4 linked regions of the Tribolium castaneum genome follow. The protein of the gene in region 2 binds, or shares a complex with, the protein of the main gene of each other region. Links are inferred from orthologs where the notes say so. Each region holds a gene or a part of one and is shown on either strand. Other genes may lie near its edges.

Region 1 (3,882 bases), on a different chromosome or scaffold from region 2:
TCGATCATATCTTCACTTTTTTTTACGTAATATGAATGTTTGGCTTGTGTCTCGACTTCTTTCTCTCGTTTTTTCAGTCGTTTAAATTTTAAATCTGTTTAATTTTTTACCTCTATTATTTTATAATCTTCGATAGAAGACGCGGTTTTACTTTATTAATTGCTTAATCAATTTTCCTTAAGACATAAATATCATGATTAGGATCTTTCAAACTAATCTTTAGTTTATATGATTTTATTATTTTTTATTTTGTTTTCCGTAACCTTTAGTTATCCAATAGATGTCATGTATCCATGTTCAAGTAGAATAGTATTTGTTATGAATTTTATAATTATTAGCCTCCACTTTGTCTTGTTTCCTTTAATATAAAGGTCGTTTTATTTTAAAATTATGATTTATACTATTTTAATATAAACATTTTTGTTAAATGTTTTGAATTTTAAACATGTGACTAATTCACCTAATGATACTTTACGTAACTTGACAAAAAATTTGTCAAGTTTGTTTATTCATTATAACTTTCAGAGTACATGTAAAATAAAAAAAATTGAAAGTCAAAAACAAGACAGCAAATTTTCTAGTAAACATACCCTTCATTTGAGGAATCACAATTGAGATCATGCTTTTCAATCTTTTTAGGGTGTTCGTATTTGAAAGTGCTTTAAAAGTGCACCAAAAAGTCTCCCCTTGTTAATAAAAATTGACCTATTCAGTAATTTTCAAAATTTTCTTTTATTTTCTGAGAGCTCGTTTAGAAAAGCACCTCGAAAATAACGGATTTTGTTAATTGACCCAAAAGCTGAAAACCAAATTTGGTTAAAAATGTTATTAGTTTTTTTGATTCACGGTTCATCGTCTGTTGTGAGTTTAATTTGAGTAAGATTTAATTATTTATTAGGATAACAGACACAGTGCAATTTATTTTGGTTTATTTATTTATTGTTAAACAAAATAGTTCCCCTCCTCGTTGTTTCTGCACGAATGGTTTGCTAATTATTTATTGCCCTAAAGAAGCCCCCCTCATAAAAACTGGCAAAACGTTGGTAGTAATAAACAAAAAAACAAACAAAATATACTGCCCCTCTCTACTATGCCCCCCCCCAAAAAAAAAAACGATAATCTGGGAAAACCCCCGCAAGAATAATTCATTCAATTCAACAATACTTCAAATTACAGAGGTTCGGTATCAATTTCTAAATCAAGCTTAAAAGCCAAAAACCCACCTGTATCAACTTTGGTTTTCCAGTACGAAACGGACGTCGTGACGTATCTTCCCGTCGGATCCCACTCGACATCCGACATTTGGAAATGATCCGTCGTATTCATAACCAAAAACTCGTGCGTATCAACAAACTCCAATGATCCACCACCATTCGATCCCAACCCCGCCAAAACAATAAACTGGCCTCCGGGCGACCAAAACAGGTGATTACACGCCCTTTTCTCGAACTTTTTAAGCAGAATTGGGGCTTGTCCCACTCTCACTTCGTAAAAACTGACATTAATATTCGGCGATTCTCCATGTATGACCGCAAACTTCGATCCGACCGGTTCCCAAGCGAACGCCTGGATGGGTTCCTTACTCTCGACGCTATCCACCGGGATCTGTTTTTCCCTCATGTGGAAGATCTCGAAGTTGCAGTACATTCCGCTGTACTTCGTCTCATTTTTCTCTTTGCGAACTTTCGAGTAACGGTCGACTTTGACGCATAGATAATCGCCAGATTTTTGCCAGTGGATTTTGCAATCGGCGACGTTGAAGAGGTTCTTCTTGCGGATTTCGTTGCGGTTGGGGATTTCAAGGAGGGTTACGCTGGCTGGAACGTCTTTGTCTTCTGCCACCCAATAGGCGACGATGTTGTCGGTGGGCGACCAGCTGAAGTCGCGGATGCCGCTGATTTTGATTGATTTTTTCTCAAGGAGACCGAACGAGGGGGTTTCGTAGATGGAGAGGACGTCGTTGCCCACGCGTCCGAAGTATTTGTCGTCGTGAGACCAGCGGAAAATCGGCCATGAGGAGGGGCCTTCAGGGTTGAAAGAACGCTTTTCTTGGCCAGTTCTGCAACAATTAGTTAAGAAGTGTTTTCAAAAAATTATATAAACTCATGAGTTTAGACATTTAATTTTTTTTACTAAAAAGTCAGGTTTTAAAGTGTACACGGTTCACATTTGTAAAAAATAAGCTTAAAAATATCTGTGTGGAAATAGTATATTAGAAAACAAGTTTCATAAAACCAGTCTTGAAGCACGAATTCAGTTTTAAAGAATAAGTACTTCAAGGTTTTATGAAACGAGTTTTTTTATACTGTTTTGTGTAATTTGTCCCCATTTTGCACTTTTTGTTATTTTAATCGATTTAGGGATTTTTAAGCCAACTGGTAATGTCTCAATTTTGAAAGTGAAAAATTGACATACTTTTTTTTGTTTTATCCAAAGCTTTAACGTAATACCACATTTAACTTCAGTGCAGTTCTGCCAACCTTCGAACATAATACAAATAATATGTGCAGTGGCGGACGCGAAATTTTGGACGCCTATGACATTTCGTTGACTTAAACGTATGGAATACTCCATACCTTTCGACTACGAAGTGACAGAAGTGCTCAAAATTCCGTATCTGCTACTGTACCATTAAGTATTTAGTAAATAAAATTTGTAACTTTTTGTTTGAAAAAATTGAAAGAAACGGTAAATTTAATCAAAGATCAGGTTAGTTATGCCAATGATTTATTATTATTTAAATACAGAGTGTTAGGTAATGGCTTAGCAAAAATTTAAAGATTTATGTAAATTTATGTAAATCAAAAATGCATGGTTTTTCAAAGAATTTGTTCTGAACTTTTGTTCTCAAAATTTGAGAACCGCTGAACTAGAATTATAAAATTTAGCGTAAATTCTAATAATATTGGCAAAACAGCTGAGCTAAAATAACTTGTTGGTTCACTACGTTATTCTTCTATTTCAATTTGTGTTTTGTTACTAAAGTTTACGAAAAAATATTTTTTTTGCCAAGACCGGGATTCGAACCTTCCGCACAAATGAAAATGTTGCCTTATTTAATGAAAAAAAAAAATATAATAATAACCGCTAATAAACTACCATAAGCCCAGTGGCTCTCAACAGGTGGGTTAATATTTTTTTTTTAAAGAAAGTACGCACCTTTTGGAAAAATTATATAAGGGTTTTTAACTCGTCTGATCATGACAAATTCACTTACACAATATTGCTAAGCCATTCCCTAACACCCTCTACATAGAGGGTCTAAAGTACAGCATTTCCGTCAAATATAACAGACGTAACCAGGGTATACATAAGTGTTAAATTAAAATCAGATTAAAAAAAATTAATAAATATCCATTTCCAATATTTGGATTCCCATTTGAAGACTGTTAAAAAATTCAACAGTTCTATTTTTACCGGAAAACAACCCTAAATTTCGTAAAAAACATTGTGACTTGATGAAAACCTTAGCAAAAAAGTTTGTTTCGTTTAAAACTACACAGAAAAAACCTCTAGTTTTGACCAATTTATTTTTTTGTTAAAAAACAGTGAACAAAATTTTCATGAGGAATTTTGAGCATATTGTATATGAATTGCCTATGTAATAGTACATTTTTATAGAACTTTGTTTATTTTTTTTCCAACCCTTAAACCAAGGTTACAAACAATGTTTAAAATAAAATAATAACTAATTTCTGAGGAGGAGGATCTAATTGAGGGATCTAGTTTCAAAGTGTACATCCTGCTGGTTTATTTTAGAATACGAGAAAAACTCGTCACATTGAAAAAATGTTTAAAAAATAAATAAATAATACCGACAATTGTGTGAGTTCATATTATCATCTAGAGAAACAAATAAATTCAAAGTTAAAAATAGGTTTT
Region 2 (4,796 bases):
TTGTTTTTGTACTTACCTTTAGATTTTTTTAAAAGATTTTTGTGATTCTTTCCTAAAGAGGTCTTTAGATTTTAAATCAGCAAAATTTTCCTTTAAATTCTCCTTTCTCGCTTATAAAAATTCTTCTCTAGTTTCTTTTATAATATTTCTTATTTATTTTTTAGCATTGTTTTTGTACTTACCTTTAGATTTTTTTAAAAGATTTTTGTGATTCTTTCCTAAAGAGGTCTTTAGATTTTAAATCAGCAAAATTTTCCTTTAGATTCTCTTCTCTCGCTTATAAAAATTCTTGTCTAGTTTCTTTTAGAATTCTTCTTGTTCATTTTTTAGCATTGTTTTTTTACTGTCTTTTAGATTTTTTTAAAGATTTTTATGATTATCTCCTAAAGACTTCTTTAGATCTTAAATCCGCAATTTTTTTTATATTCTCCTCTCTCGCTTATAAAAATTCTTCTCTAGTTTCTTTTAGAATTGCTCTTATTTATTTTCTAGCATTGTTTCTGTACTTCTTTTTGGATTTTTTAAAGGTTTTTGTGATTCTTTTTTAAAAATTTTTACATGAATTTTAATGTTAAAATTCCTATTAATTTAATACCAACATGACTATTAAAATTTTATTTCAGACGATGAGGCTGAATCAGACATTCCAACAACTTTAATCCGTTCAATCGCCGACGTTCCGTCATTTGAACTCACCACAACCCTCACAACCAACGACATTGTCATAAATAAATTAACCCAAATTTTAAGTTACTTGCGCCAAGGCAACCGAAAGAACAAAAAAACCAAACGGGGACTCCCCGAAAGTCGCGAAAACGAACAACCGGAAGAACCCGAACCGAAAAAAACAACAAAACGTACAACCGGTGATGACTCCATCTATGGAGATATTGGTGATTACGTACCCACAAGAAGTGGTAAACATGGAAACTCGTCACGTGACCATAACAAACACACGTACTTTGATAAACAAGAGGAAGCGCTTGAAAATAGCGGACCGACTTTCAAAGTCAGTAAATCGGCACAAATCCTTAATAAACTGGCTCAAGAGCCTGAGGGATATGCTGAGTGTTATCCCGGATTGGAGGAAATGAACGATGCGATTGATGATTCTGATGATGAGGTTGATTATTCTAAGATGGACTTGGGGAATAAAAAGGGGCCGATTGGACGCTGGGACTTTGACACAGCTGAGGAGTATTCCGATTATATGAACCAGAAGGAGGCTTTGCCGAAAGCAGCCTTCCAGTACGGCCTTAAAATGGCAGATGGGCGCAGGTCCAGGAAGCATAAGGATAAGAACGAAAAGGCGCATTTGGACAGGGAGTGGCAAAAAATCCAAAGCATTATCAAGAAGAAATAATTTTGTTGTGTATTTAGGAGATAAATAAGTTAATTTAAATAAAAAATATATATTGGAAATTTGATTTTCTACAACTTTGTTCCTTACTTTTTTGTCTTACTATCGAGAGTTTAATGCTCTATGTGCCTGTATTTTTTCTTTGCTATCTGCTAATGGAACAAGTGCGCTCTCTGGTGACAATAAAGGAACTACCGAAAACGCGAGCGTTTCATTTGTACGTCTTTGGTATCTTAACCGTAGAATCCTTACTTTTGACACAACTTGAACCTAAATACCACCACCTAACCCTGGCTCTCGACTTAAGGGCCCTTTCGTGCCCAAAAACAAATTAATTTGCCCTTTTTTTACGATATTACCATAACACTACCAATCACAAGACAAAAAAGTCCCGATTTTGACAGTTGGCACAAGTTTTTGGCCATTTTGTGGTTACAATCGTGTCGGAAAATCTGTTAAGTGAAAAAAAGGCTTTAAACACGTAAGTTTTGCCTCTTTCACGTGTATTTTACCTTAAAATTGTGGTTCCGACATTTCTAACTATAATTTTGGGGAGTTCCGTCTCCAAACATGAACCACATGGGCCCCAGTAACTAGCTTTAAAGTAGTCTTAAATTAAGTTTTCGGTCTTCATTTGGCCCAAAGAAGCGAAAAACCGTTACCTAACGCCAATTTAACGCCTAGTTATTGCGTTATTTCACGTAATTTTTTTGAGGTTATGTCACTTTGTAGGTAAAAAAATGAGTCGTTTTTTCGCCGGTTCGGACTCAGACTCCGACAGCTCCTCCGAGGAAGAGCCAATTCAGCGCGCGCCAGCGCCCGTTTTCACCGTAAGTGAGCCCCCATGTAGCTTAACATTTTTTTAATGGCCCCCTTCTAGTTTAGCGACGATGAAGAGGAGGTCAAACGTGTGGTTCGCTCCGCCAAAGAGAAGCGTTACGAGGAACTCACTAACATTATCAAACAAATCCGCAATTACAAAAAAATCAAAGACATGAGCAGCATGTTGACCAGTTTTGAAGACCTTCAGAAGGCCTACGTTAAAGCGCTCCCAGTGATCGCGAAAGAAGAATCGGGGCAAACGCCCCGTTTCTTCACCCGTTGTTTGGTCGAAATGGAAGATTTCATCAACGAAATGTGGGAAGATCGCGACGGACGCAAAAACATGAGCAAAAACAACAGCAAGTCTTTGGCTTCAATGCGCCAGAAGTTGCGCAAGTACATCAAAGATTTCGAGGAGGATATTGCCAAGTTTAGGGAAAACCCCGACCAGCCGGACGATGAAGAAGAGGAAGAGAAACACGAGCCTGAGCCAGACACTCAAACTGAAGCGCCGGCCAAAGCTGTGGCTAAAATTTCCAAACAGATTGTTGATGATGAAGGGTCGTCTGATTCGGACGATTGGCCTAGTGATAGTGACTCGAGTTCGGATAGTTTTGATGAAGATGAAGGGAAAGGGACTATGAGGGAGCGGTTTTTGAAGAAAACTGGGCCGGCGCATGAAGATGATGAAGAACGCGATCGGAGGAAGGAGGAAAGGAGGAAGGAACGTAAGGAGAAGGAGAGGCGGAAGGTGAAGAAGGAGGATGAGGAGGATGGGGAAGGGGAGTGGGAGTTTGTGAAGGGGGGAATCGCAATTCCGAGCGTAAGTATCAGTACTTTAAATGTTTTTCTATTAAAAAAAATGAGGAATGACCTCTTTTCTTTTGTTATTCGGCTGTCTTGATTAGATAACACAGTACAATGAACTTTTTTTTTATAAAAAAGCTTAATAAGACCTTCTTCTATGACATATTAAAAATTTGGAAAGATATTATTTATGATTTTCTTGTTAGAGTCTGTCAAAAATAAACATTCTTGAAAAAATCAATAAAACAAAGTAAAAAATTCCGCTGTCTTGATTGGATAACACAGAGCAATGAACTTCTTTTTTATAAAACAGCTTCAGAAGACCTTCCTCTATAACATATTAAAAATCTGGAAAGATATTATTTTTGGTTTTCTTGTTAGAGTCTGTCGAAAATAAACATTCTTGAAAAAATCAAATAAAACACAAAGTTAAAAATCCCGCTGTCTTGATTGGATAACATAAAGCAATGAACTTCTTTTTTATAAAACAACTTCAGAAGACCTTTTTCTATAACATATTAAAAATCTGGAAAGATATTATGAACAATGAACTTCTTTTTTATAAAACTTTTTTATAAAACAGTTTCAGAAAACCTTCTTTTATAACATATTAAAAATTTGGAAAGATATTATTTTTAGTTTTCTTGTGAGAGTCTTCCAAAAATAACCATTCTTGAAAAATTCAAATAAAACACAAAGTTAAAAATCCCGCTGTCTTGATTGGATAACATAAAGCAATGAACTTCTTTTTTATAAAACAACTTCAGAAGACCTTCTTCTATAACATATTAAAAATATGGAAAGATATTATTTTTGGTTTTCTTGTGAGAGTCTTCCAAAAATAACCATTCTTGAAAAATTCAAATAAAACACCAAGTTAAAAATTCCGCTGTCTTGATTGGATAACATAGAGCAATGAACATCTTTTTTATTAAACAACTTCAGAAGACCTTTTTCTATAACATATTAAAAATCTGGAAAGATATTATTTTTGGTTTTCTTGTTAGAGTCTGCCAAAAATAACCATTCTTGAAAAATTCTAATAAAACACAAAGTTAAAAATTCCGCTGTGTTGATTGGATAACATAGAGCAGTGAACTTCTTTTTTATAAAACAGCTTCAGAAGACCTTCTTCTATAACATATAAAAAATTTGGAAAGATATTATTTTTGGTTTTCTTGTTAGAGTCTGTCAAAAATAACCATTCTTGAAAAATTCAAATAAAACACCAAGTTAAAAATTCCGCTGTCTTGATTGGATAACATCGAGCAATGAACTTCTTTTTTATAAAACAGCTTCAGAAGATCTTCCTCTATAACATATTAAATATTTGGAAAGATATTATTTTTGGTTTTCTTGTGAGAGTCTGTCAAAAATAACCATTCTTGAAAAATTCAAATAAAACTCAAAGTTAAAAATTCCGCTGTCTTGATTGGATAACATCGAGCAATGAACTTCTTTTTTGTAAAACAGCTTCAGAAGACCTTCTTCTCTAACATATTAAAAATTTGAAAAGATATTATTTTTGGTTTTCTTGTTAGAGTCTGTCAAAAATAACCATTCTTGAAAAATTCAAATAAAACACCAAGTTAAAAATTCCGCTGTCTTGATTGGATAACACAGAACAATGAACTTCTTTTTTATAAAACAGCTTCAGAAGACCTTCCTCTATAACATATTAAATATTTGGAAAGATATTATTTTTGGTTTTCTTGTGAGAGTCTGCCAAAAATAACCATTCTTGAAAAATTCAAATAAAACACCAAATTAAAAATTCCGCTGTCTTGATTGGATAACATCGAGCAAT
Region 3 (4,757 bases), on a different chromosome or scaffold from region 2:
CAGAGTTTTCAGCCAGTTTAAAACTCTTGAAAAATTTCTGCAGTAAATTTTGTCATTTTGGAGCAAGAAAGCGTACGAAATTGCACTGATCAAAAAAATGGGCCAGAATCTTAGACAAAATTGACACTTAACGTGATTTTTTCCCAAAATTTATCTTTTTTTGCTCGAATGCATTCGATCATCGATTTATGTATCAAAAGAATAATCAATCAATAAAGTGATGTTAATTATTGTTGATGTTAATGAAAATATGTATTTAATAAAATGTTCAAAAAATAATTTAATTTTTGTAATAAAATTTAAGGGCCAATTTCATAATCGGATTTAAAGGAGCATTCAACTAAAAGTTGTTTATAATGTGCTGGTTACTATGGATTTGTGGACATTTCACATTCTAAACATTTAATTTAATGCTCCTTTAAATTCGATTATAAAACTGGCCCTTAATTAATTAAAAAATAAAATAAATATTAATAAATAATACAATGTGTTTTTAAATAATTCTCATCTAGTCGTCTGTGAATTTCTACAGTAAAATCAGAAAATACCGCTTCATATAAATAATGATAGGCATTTAGACATCGAATATTACCATTCTCCATTTATTAAGGCTCCAAATATAAAGTAAGCTTAAAAAATAAAAGTGTTTTCTTGCACGGTATAATAATTTAGTTACATTTTAACGAAGTTTTTAAAACAAATTAAATGAATTTGCCAACTGACAGACTTTACATTTATTAACAGAGGATTCAATTGAGCAAAGCGGCACAATTTTTTACATGTAAACCAATTTCAAAGTTAACTGGATGAGAATCATTTAAAAACACATTGTATAAAATATTAAAATTTAATAAATCGAAATTTTGAGGTTAGCAACAATTTTATTAAGAATTTTTTGCTTAAAATATCATTCATTTAAAAGACACTATTGAAATTATAAAATTAATAATTAATTAATTACACGGAATAATATTTTCAATTTTATTAACATAATTTTTAGTAATTCATGTTTATTTAAGGAAATGTAAAAAAAAATAAAAAAAAATCTTTGAGAAAAAAATTAAGTATTTAATAGAAAACACTGATTTTTGTGTGACTAATTAATATGCCAACATTCTTTAATTGCTTTTAAGTTTTCATTAATTTTTGTTGCATTATAAGTGATAACAAATTCTGTAACTGACTGAACAATTTGCCCCGGAAATCACCGGAAGATCAAACCAGCTAACCCTTCTCGCATTAGCACAAATTTACGGAAAAAGCAGGATTATACCTTACTTGCCAACTGCGAAATTAAATTAAACAAAGAAGTTTACAGAATATTTCAATTACAATAAAATTTTTATTAGTGATTAACTTGACATTTGCCAATGCATTTTAAATGACAACTTAAACTCGAATTAGTCTAATTCGGAATTAAATTTTAATTTCGCTGTCTGTAGACCGACCCACAGTTTTTTTTTATTTTATTAATTAAATGGTAACAACTTCTAATACTAGTAGAATTAAATAATTTTTTTGAATATTAAATATTTTCGTAACATCAATAAAACTTCCTTGGCAGTTTATTGTTTTTTTATTTTTTTTAACAATTACTAATTCATTAATTGCATAAAATCGCAATCAAATTACATGATATTAAAACGCTGCAAAAGTTATTATTTCTTATGTTATTTTAGAACACCTGAAATACTTAAATGTTTTGTGCAAAAAGTTCGTAAAAATTTTTCTTAAGAATTTTTTGCTTATAGCATTATACGCCGTTGATCCAGAAAGACACTGCAGAATTAATTAAATTTCGATTAATCAAGTTTTTATATTTTGTATTTTATAAATACCTATTATTATTATTTGCTTAACTAATATCATATCAGAAAAATTAAAACATTATATTAAATATTTTCGTTAACATCAATAACACTTCCACGTCAGTTTATTGAGTGGCTAGCAAACAGCTCTGATTTAAATATCATTGAGTCTTTTTGGCACAAAGTAAAAAGGTATCCTACAAATCTTCCTCAATAGTTGTTGAAAGATTTAAAAAATAAAATAGAACATATTTGGAACAATAAAACGCCAGAATTTTGTAAGGGATTCGTTAAAAGTATGCCAGCGCTAAGTTGAGTCGTCATTGAAGCCAATAAAGATTGAAATTACAAAAAAATCTATCTTTTTTTTGTTCAAACAATTAATTGTCAAATATCATTCCTATTTTTCTTTGTTTTAATTTCATGTTAAATATAGTGTTTTAAAGTAGTGTTTAAGTAGGTCATAAGTTACAAATAAAGGTATTTCTTCAATTTATCCTTCTTTTTTTAAAATAAACATTCATTAGCTTGACGTGCATTTTCTTTGCAAAAATGTATTCGTCCAAACACACTATTCAGAAATGATTGTTCATTGCAAGTCACTTATGAAATTTGAACGTAATGTGCCACTTAATTTAAATTGTGAATGCCGTCAAAAGCGACAAAACCGTCAAATTAATGCAAAAAAACTTCAAATCTAAAAACGAAAGAGTACACAACAAATTTCACCGAGATGTAAAACACAAATGACGGCAAACCCCACACTTGAGAAATGCAAAAAAGTGAGTAAAAAGCTAAGATTTGACAGAGATGAGAGTATTCAAACACTACAATAATGATTTGAACGAAGCGGAACATTGTTTTTGACTTCCATAGTCGACTGGGTGAACAACCATTTTTGAACACATTGTATTTACTTTGTAATCCTTTGAAAGGAAATTAATCAAAGTTTTCGAATCCCTCATGTTTTCCATATTCTTCATGACCTCATCGTCGGCCATAATCTTCAAAATTGGTTGCACTTCCTGTTGAAGCTCCTGTAACTGAGCTACAACGTGTTGACGCCTTTGCTTCAGATCTTCAGGAACTTCTTCATTTGGATACAGCTGCTTTCGGATGTCAATAGCATAATCGATCATGTTGGTCTTGCTCAAAATATCTAATTTGGCTTTAAGCAATTCCGTTTCATCGTAAATCTACGAAATTCGGAATCAACCGAATGAACATAACCTCAAAAACTGTACCTCTTTAGCCGACAAAAATTCCAACAATGGAAACACCAAGTGCCGATCCAAATATTGCCCCATGCGGGAAGTTAAATCAAATTGGGCCATTTTATACCGTTTTTATGCAAAAACTAACAAGATTTTATAAAATGTGACACATATGGCGGCACCCTAGAATAACACTTTTATAGAAGCGGAACATAATGGTTGGCAATGAATTCCTAGCTGGAGCCATCTAGCCGCATCATCACGTACTAAAAATGGCGCGAATTAAATAATCCCGATTACTTTGTATTTTTTAAATTTTTGCTCACGTCAAAATGATGTCAAAACCTTATCAAATACAATTATTATGAAAATTTTCTAATTGTATTTGAAAAGGTGGATGCACAAACAGCACAAATAGAAGAATTTTACCCAACATGACACGATCTAAACACATTTAATATTAAAGATATTTATTAAATCCATTAAGTTTACAAAACTAATAGTCGTCACCGCATCGATGATAAAGACATACTTGCAATCAGCCAAACTGGCACCTTATGTTAGCAACTTCTGTCTATGGGAATCTCCTCACAGTGTGACTCACTTGCGGTTCGCTCTCAAAAAACTCACTTTTGGAAAAAACGCACCTATCAATGAAAACCTTCTGGAGCTCATTACTACGTTATATTCTTGGAGATCATGTTGTTCCTAACCGATAGTAGGCAATAGTCTAACCCAAACACGACACCTTGAACCACTATCTTAATAAAACTTTGAAAAATTAACGTGATATAAAAAATAAACTCAAATTTTGCTGACGTTTGTGAAATTTTTACTTGTCAGCCGCGCATCGGTACCACGTTTTTCTTCAGTAATATGAAATTTTAAATCCGCCAATAGGATTTCTTTTTCCCGTAAAACACTAAGGCCATCTATCCGCATCATCAGTAAATCCTATTTCAGTGAGCACAGCTTCCTTGATTAATGAAGGAACTTTCCCTTCACACGGCTGGCCGCATTGCTTAGTTCCATGGCATATTTTTGTTTCTGAGAGGGAGCCACTATAAAGTAAAACAATTCTGACAGTTCTAAGGTTAAGTGTTGTCACACTGCTGTCAGTGCAGAAGATTTCTAAGGCAAAACGCATTAGTATTAGCTGTATAGTTGTAGAAAACGTATTCTACAAACATTTGGCACGTGTTTTTACTGTGAGGAACCAAAAGCGCATGTTGCCATGTGAGTGACCAAGAGCCTATGCCAAGAGCGAACTGCGAAACACAAAACGAACGTAAAAAGCGTCATACAAACTTGAACATTTTGCCGAATGGTAAACAAACATTTTTATGCTCACGAAAATGATCAAAAGAGTGTTGGAACGCATTTGCAACCAACTGTACAAAATGTACCCATTAGTGTCGAAATGCTTTGCATTTCAAATTTTGATTAAAACTTGTGGAAAAAAAATGAAACTAAGCTTTGTCTTGCCTTCCTGTTGGCAAAATTTTGTATAAATCTTGTGCAAAAGAGGTTGAAAACTTAAATTTGTAAAAAATATGACGGCTGTCACCTTTGACACCAAGTGAATTTTTCAGCAGCAACTAATAGATGGCGCTACAATAAAGTAAGCTGTCAAAAAACACTTTTTTTGTTCAATGCGACCAGCCGTGTAAAGGGTACTTCCCTTCACTAATCAAGGAAGCTGTGTCAGTGAGGGTTCGATTTGGCTATATCAGTT
Region 4 (4,640 bases), on a different chromosome or scaffold from region 2:
AAGTTAATATTATGTCATTATTATACCTACCATTCCACATTTCACTTACAATATGTTAATTGTATCACATATTCAATCCCACTTGGAGATGAGCAATTGAAAAAATACACTTTACGACATCATAAACTCAAATGTCATCAAATTAGTTTGAAAATTTTATAAAGTAGTTAATCTGTTGTAAAATGTTGCACTCAAACGATTATAACTTTTCAACATCTCAAATTGTGTGGGTTCGAGTAAAAATAAAACTGTTAATTTGATTTAGTTATTGAATGTTGGAACGTATTAACAAAAAAAGAATGAATCATACGATAATATGACATCTTACGTCATAAAAATGTGCTGATAATCTTGAATAAGTAAATTCTAAACCTAATAAAGTAAATCCGCAACAAAATAGAATAATGCACTTACCTTTATTTTTCTTTTGTTGTGAATACGACAGCTTTACTTTCTTTGTTGAAAAAAATTAAAAAATGCGTGAGCAAATGCACCTTGCTGCTGCTACACGACAAGAGTCCGTTTTATTTTTTTTTCACTTGTTGGTTAATACTATGCACGAGAATTAACTGCAAATTATTATTTATTGATCATTTTATTTCGGCCTTTCGCTAATACATGATAAAAATACAAAATCTAGCGTTTCGCACTGTTGGTGTATGGATAAAGGGTCTGGAAAGTCACGGAATCAGGGGGCACCTCATCCTCCGACTCCGACTCCCCGTCCGATTCGAACGTATTATCCGGAATATCGTACAACCGGATCATCGGCTTATTCGGATCTTTCATAATCAAATACTTCCCATCCTTCTGTTTCATAACAATGTCAATAATACACCGCAGAATCCCCCACGCATTATCCATATTCAGATTAATCTGAGTGGCAAACTCGTGCGGCTTATACTGCTGTGTACCCAGAATAACATGCTTGCTGTTATCCCTGACATGGGCCCGGGAAACATAACCGAATTTAATTTGGTCGCTGCCAGCCAGCAACGCCTGAACGGTCCATTTGGCCAGCTTGCAGGCGTTATTACGCAGCTCATTGGCCAAAACGGCGCCTCTCTGGGTGTCCAGTTTCTGGCGCCACTCCACCCCATTGGCCAATTTGGAATCCCATTCGTTCAAGGCCTTGATTGACAGGAATTGGAGCTCGCCATTCGGGGACTGGACCACGGCATCGTGTTCGCAACGGACAACCAAAAACTACACAAATTAAACGTGGACAGAAACAAAACGAAAAAATTACTATTCCGCTCCCTAGGTCATATTTGCGGTATCTGTAGGCCACACTGGCGACCTCCCCTTCCTCCTCCTCGGAGATAAAAGGGTTTGGGTTGTCGAACTTGAAGCGGGGCTCCCCGGTACCTGTTCTTAATACCTGTTGACTGAAATTGTGGTTAATGAAAGTGGCTTCCAAGGCCAGGTTTCGAGGGGAGTTTAAGGAGTTGCCGTCGTCTTGTGGGGGCTCCACGGACGTTTCGTTGACGGTTAAAAGATCAAACTCCGTATTGTCACGCTTATCAAAGAAGAGTTTATCGCCTGAAAAATTTTGTTTGAGATTTGTTACACTTGTAAGGGCACAGTACCAATTTTTTCAATCACGATGTCCCAGGAATAATTCGAGCGAGTGCAGCACATGATGGTCGCAAGGATCGCATCAGTGGCGTACACATTGCCCTCCGTTTTACTCAACTTACGGATAATCGGATCATCAGTTGTTGTAACCTGAGGATAATTAATTTTAATTTTTTGCCATCAATGATATTAAAAATAACCCACTGTATGGAAGATACGATTGACGCTTTGCAGCGGCTTCTCATTCTTCACGTTGACACGATCGTACGACTTGTCATAGTACTCCAACTCGCCACAACAAGTAATATCCTCGCCTAAAAACCAAAATAGAAAAATTCGCATTGCTTAATTAAACCAACCGTCTTTGACGTTAGGGAGCGACAATTTTCCCAACCGAGGGAAATCCATTTCCTCAATGGTGACCCAATCCGGTTTGACCGTAACCGAAGCGTCCCTGATCTTAATCTGGGGCTAAAACCGCCAACTATATTGCGGTAAAACTCAAGCGAGATCTTACCCGTCCTTGTCCCCATTTCTTAACCTGGCTCCTCTTATACGTGTCCCTGGCTTTAACCCCCTTCCCGAGGGACTGCATGCCGCTGCCTTGCACCCCAGCACGGCCGCCACGCCCGCGCAAGTTGCGCTGGTTCGCGCGGAAGCGCCCCCGTTGATAGGGGGGCTTCTGGACGCGTGTTGTGTCCACCAAATGAAAAGTGCTCTCGTCTTCGTCATGATAATACGCGTATTGACTGCCAGAACCGAACTGGGACGCATACTTGTCTAAAATTGCGAAAAATAAGTCACTTAACCTCAAATTTGACATGTGTCAATGTCAGACTAACTGGCATATTTCTTGTCTTGGAAGGCGGCCCCCGTCCAGTCGCTGATTTTGCCGAGACGGTCGCCTTTGCTGAAGGGCTGGTACGGCATATCTTTGAACTGGTCGGGCAGCTCGCAGGGCCCCCATCCAGTCGGGTTGTCCTGGATTACGGGGGCCACGAATTTGGGGACCTCACCCGCTGATTGACCATCAGTCATAGTCATTTGACTTGCTTTCAGAAGTTAGGAAGTGTTCAATTCAATATGTTGAAGCAGAAACCGCGAGTTGTGCACAACACTTGGCAAAAAGAAATGTGCGCGCGCAGATTCTGACAATCGACAGTTTTTGAAATTCGGCGCTTTTGAAATCAAAATAACATGGCCAACTTACATCAAATGTCGCTGCGCTTGAGAAAACATTTTCATCCACTTTTTTTTCAATTTAATTCTCTAATTTTTGTTTACGTGTTGTTTCACTTACCTTTTCTACACTTTTTTTCAGAAAAAAATTGTCACCCTGATCCGCAGCGACATTTGATGTAAGTTGGCGATGCTAAATAATAATGGAATCCTGTTAAAAATCCTTCACTCTTGGGTTTCCAATTAATTTTAAATTAAATTTTTTCCATTACAACCTAATTGATTTATTGCATTGTTAATAACTAATATTTAACTTGGAAAAACAGCAAGAAAATAAGCTCTAATGGCAATAAGGCATTATTTTTTTCTATTTTGGTGTCTCACTAACTTTATTTTGCATAAAAACTCATTGCCATCACAAAGAACGCAACAGCGCAAAAATTTGTATTGAATTCAAATTCTTCTACACGTAACTTCACTTTTTCGTAGTATATTTTACGTCCCCTATTATTGCGTATTGACGATGACATCAGATTTCTCTCAGCAAAGAGAACACTGATAAGGAGTGGGTTTAATAAGCTCGCATTTGCATAACACACATTTATTTATAATAAATTTAAATACGAATTTGTAAATATTATGCCTGGCACACATCTGTACAAAAAGTGCCCATAAAATACAAGCAATACCGTTATCATGTCCACGACAATGAATAAATAACACATTTTGACTCCATATTTACAACATGCTGTCTGTGACTTCGCCCGGATTCTCCAGCGCGGCTTTGCGTTCGCTGACAGCGGTCACAAGTTTCCTGTACGGCCCTAGGGGCAAGTTCAGGCTTTGGAGATCGTTTTCTGTCAGTATCATCAGCGTTTCCAGGTCGATTTTCTGCTCCTCGAAGCGGGGAAGGTACTCTCCTAGCCCCCAGGCGGTCAAGAAGCGTTCCAGGGGAGCGTTCGGGTTATCGTCGTCGCTGGACTCGGGGTCTGATAACTCGTCTTCGATTGATAGAGTGTTGGTTCTGGGGCCGTAGCTTTCCCCTGACCCGATTGAACTCTCCTCGTTGGGGCCTTCGCTGGAGTAGAAGCCTTGGAATGTGTTGGTTATGCTCTTTCTAAATAAAAAACGTGTTTTTGTGCTTTCGCATATTGATTATTTGTTACCGGAACGCTATGCTTCCAATTCCTGGGCGCACGAAAATACTCGCTGGTTCTTGTTGGAGTTTAGTGTCGCCGTTTGTTTCCAATTCGTGCATGAAGTCAGGCTGGGAGATGGACCTTGTGAGGCCGTTGCTGGACGGTGGTGGCGGCGGAGACGACTCTATGTACTCAGCTTCGTTGAAGACCGATTCCAGACGGCCTCTCCTGCCATCGATGGTCCCCGTGTAAAGTACCTCAGAGTCTCGCCGATACCCCGTTAGTGATCTGACTGAGCGTTTGCCGTCTTCAATTTCACTAATCTGGAACGAGTTTTTCAAATAAATGCTTATTTACTCTCGGGAGCACCTTGAAGTCGTCGTCGAAGCCAGGCCGCGTTGTTCGGCTGGCGAGCACCCGCTTCTGCACCGACCCCAAATTCCGCATCCCGGAAACGGTCCCGTTGCCCACGATGGTGCTGAACCTCGGAGGGGCCGGCCCCAGATTCGACAAGTTCGACATGGACCCACTTTTAATTCTGGTTTTGAGCGTCTCTATCATCGACGGCCTGTGGTGACCTTTGTTCATACGTTTCTCCAGCTTCTCTTGAACTTGCTCTTTTTTGACTTGGCGTTTGTTGAATTCCTGAAAAGAAAGTGAAACGATTGGTTTCTCTCGACGGGGCCGTGTTTTACTTTGATGCGTTTTTCTGACTCTTTCTTTGCTTTTTCTTTGAGTGCTTTG

The links.
Region 1: eIF3c (region 2) and eIF3b share a complex: the UniProt entries of both Drosophila melanogaster proteins name them as parts of the eukaryotic translation initiation factor 3 (eIF-3) complex. The link is inferred for Tribolium castaneum from reciprocal best matches to the Drosophila melanogaster genes eIF3c and eIF3b.
Region 3: eIF3c (region 2) and eIF3e share a complex: the UniProt entries of both Drosophila melanogaster proteins name them as parts of the eukaryotic translation initiation factor 3 (eIF-3) complex. The link is inferred for Tribolium castaneum from reciprocal best matches to the Drosophila melanogaster genes eIF3c and eIF3e.
Region 4: eIF3c (region 2) and eIF3d1 share a complex: the UniProt entries of both Drosophila melanogaster proteins name them as parts of the eukaryotic translation initiation factor 3 (eIF-3) complex. The link is inferred for Tribolium castaneum from reciprocal best matches to the Drosophila melanogaster genes eIF3c and eIF3d1.

What each region holds. Positions count from the first base shown.
Region 1 is NC_087399.1:10,626,646-10,630,527, reverse strand, and holds part of eIF3b (eukaryotic translation initiation factor 3 subunit B), read right to left. Parts: intron 2,060-3,882; coding exon 1,224-2,059; intron 1-1,223. UniProt on the Drosophila melanogaster protein: RNA-binding component of the eukaryotic translation initiation factor 3 (eIF-3) complex, which is involved in protein synthesis of a specialized repertoire of mRNAs and, together with other initiation factors, stimulates binding of mRNA and methionyl-tRNAi to the 40S ribosome.
Region 2 is NC_087401.1:16,334,002-16,338,797, reverse strand, and holds the start of eIF3c (eukaryotic translation initiation factor 3 subunit C), read left to right. Parts: upstream 1-1,713; 5' UTR 1,714-1,845; intron 1,846-2,092; exon of another isoform or gene 2,093-2,095; 5' UTR 2,096-2,100; coding exon 2,101-2,190; intron 2,191-2,240; coding exon 2,241-3,005; intron 3,006-4,796. Other genes in the region: beag (protein Red), read left to right, coding at 624-1,363. UniProt on the Drosophila melanogaster protein: Component of the eukaryotic translation initiation factor 3 (eIF-3) complex, which is involved in protein synthesis of a specialized repertoire of mRNAs and, together with other initiation factors, stimulates binding of mRNA and methionyl-tRNAi to the 40S ribosome.
Region 3 is NC_087394.1:22,552,206-22,556,962, reverse strand, and holds the start of eIF3e (eukaryotic translation initiation factor 3 subunit E), read right to left. Parts: upstream 3,231-4,757; 5' UTR 3,143-3,230; coding exon 3,053-3,142; intron 3,005-3,052; coding exon 2,726-3,004; intron 1-2,725. UniProt on the Drosophila melanogaster protein: Component of the eukaryotic translation initiation factor 3 (eIF-3) complex, which is involved in protein synthesis of a specialized repertoire of mRNAs and, together with other initiation factors, stimulates binding of mRNA and methionyl-tRNAi to the 40S ribosome.
Region 4 is NC_087399.1:4,807,319-4,811,958, reverse strand, and holds eIF3d1 (eukaryotic initiation factor 3 p66 subunit), read right to left. Parts: upstream 2,690-4,640; 5' UTR 2,623-2,689; coding exon 2,421-2,622; intron 2,359-2,420; coding exon 2,096-2,358; intron 2,050-2,095; coding exon 1,938-2,049; intron 1,893-1,937; coding exon 1,783-1,892; intron 1,729-1,782; coding exon 1,590-1,728; intron 1,543-1,589; coding exon 1,250-1,542; intron 1,207-1,249; coding exon 637-1,206; 3' UTR 580-636; downstream 1-579. Other genes in the region: Sans (ankyrin repeat and SAM domain-containing protein 4B), read right to left, coding at 3,496-3,874, 3,924-4,219, 4,266-4,541, 4,592-4,640. UniProt on the Drosophila melanogaster protein: mRNA cap-binding component of the eukaryotic translation initiation factor 3 (eIF-3) complex, which is involved in protein synthesis of a specialized repertoire of mRNAs and, together with other initiation factors, stimulates binding of mRNA and methionyl-tRNAi to the 40S ribosome.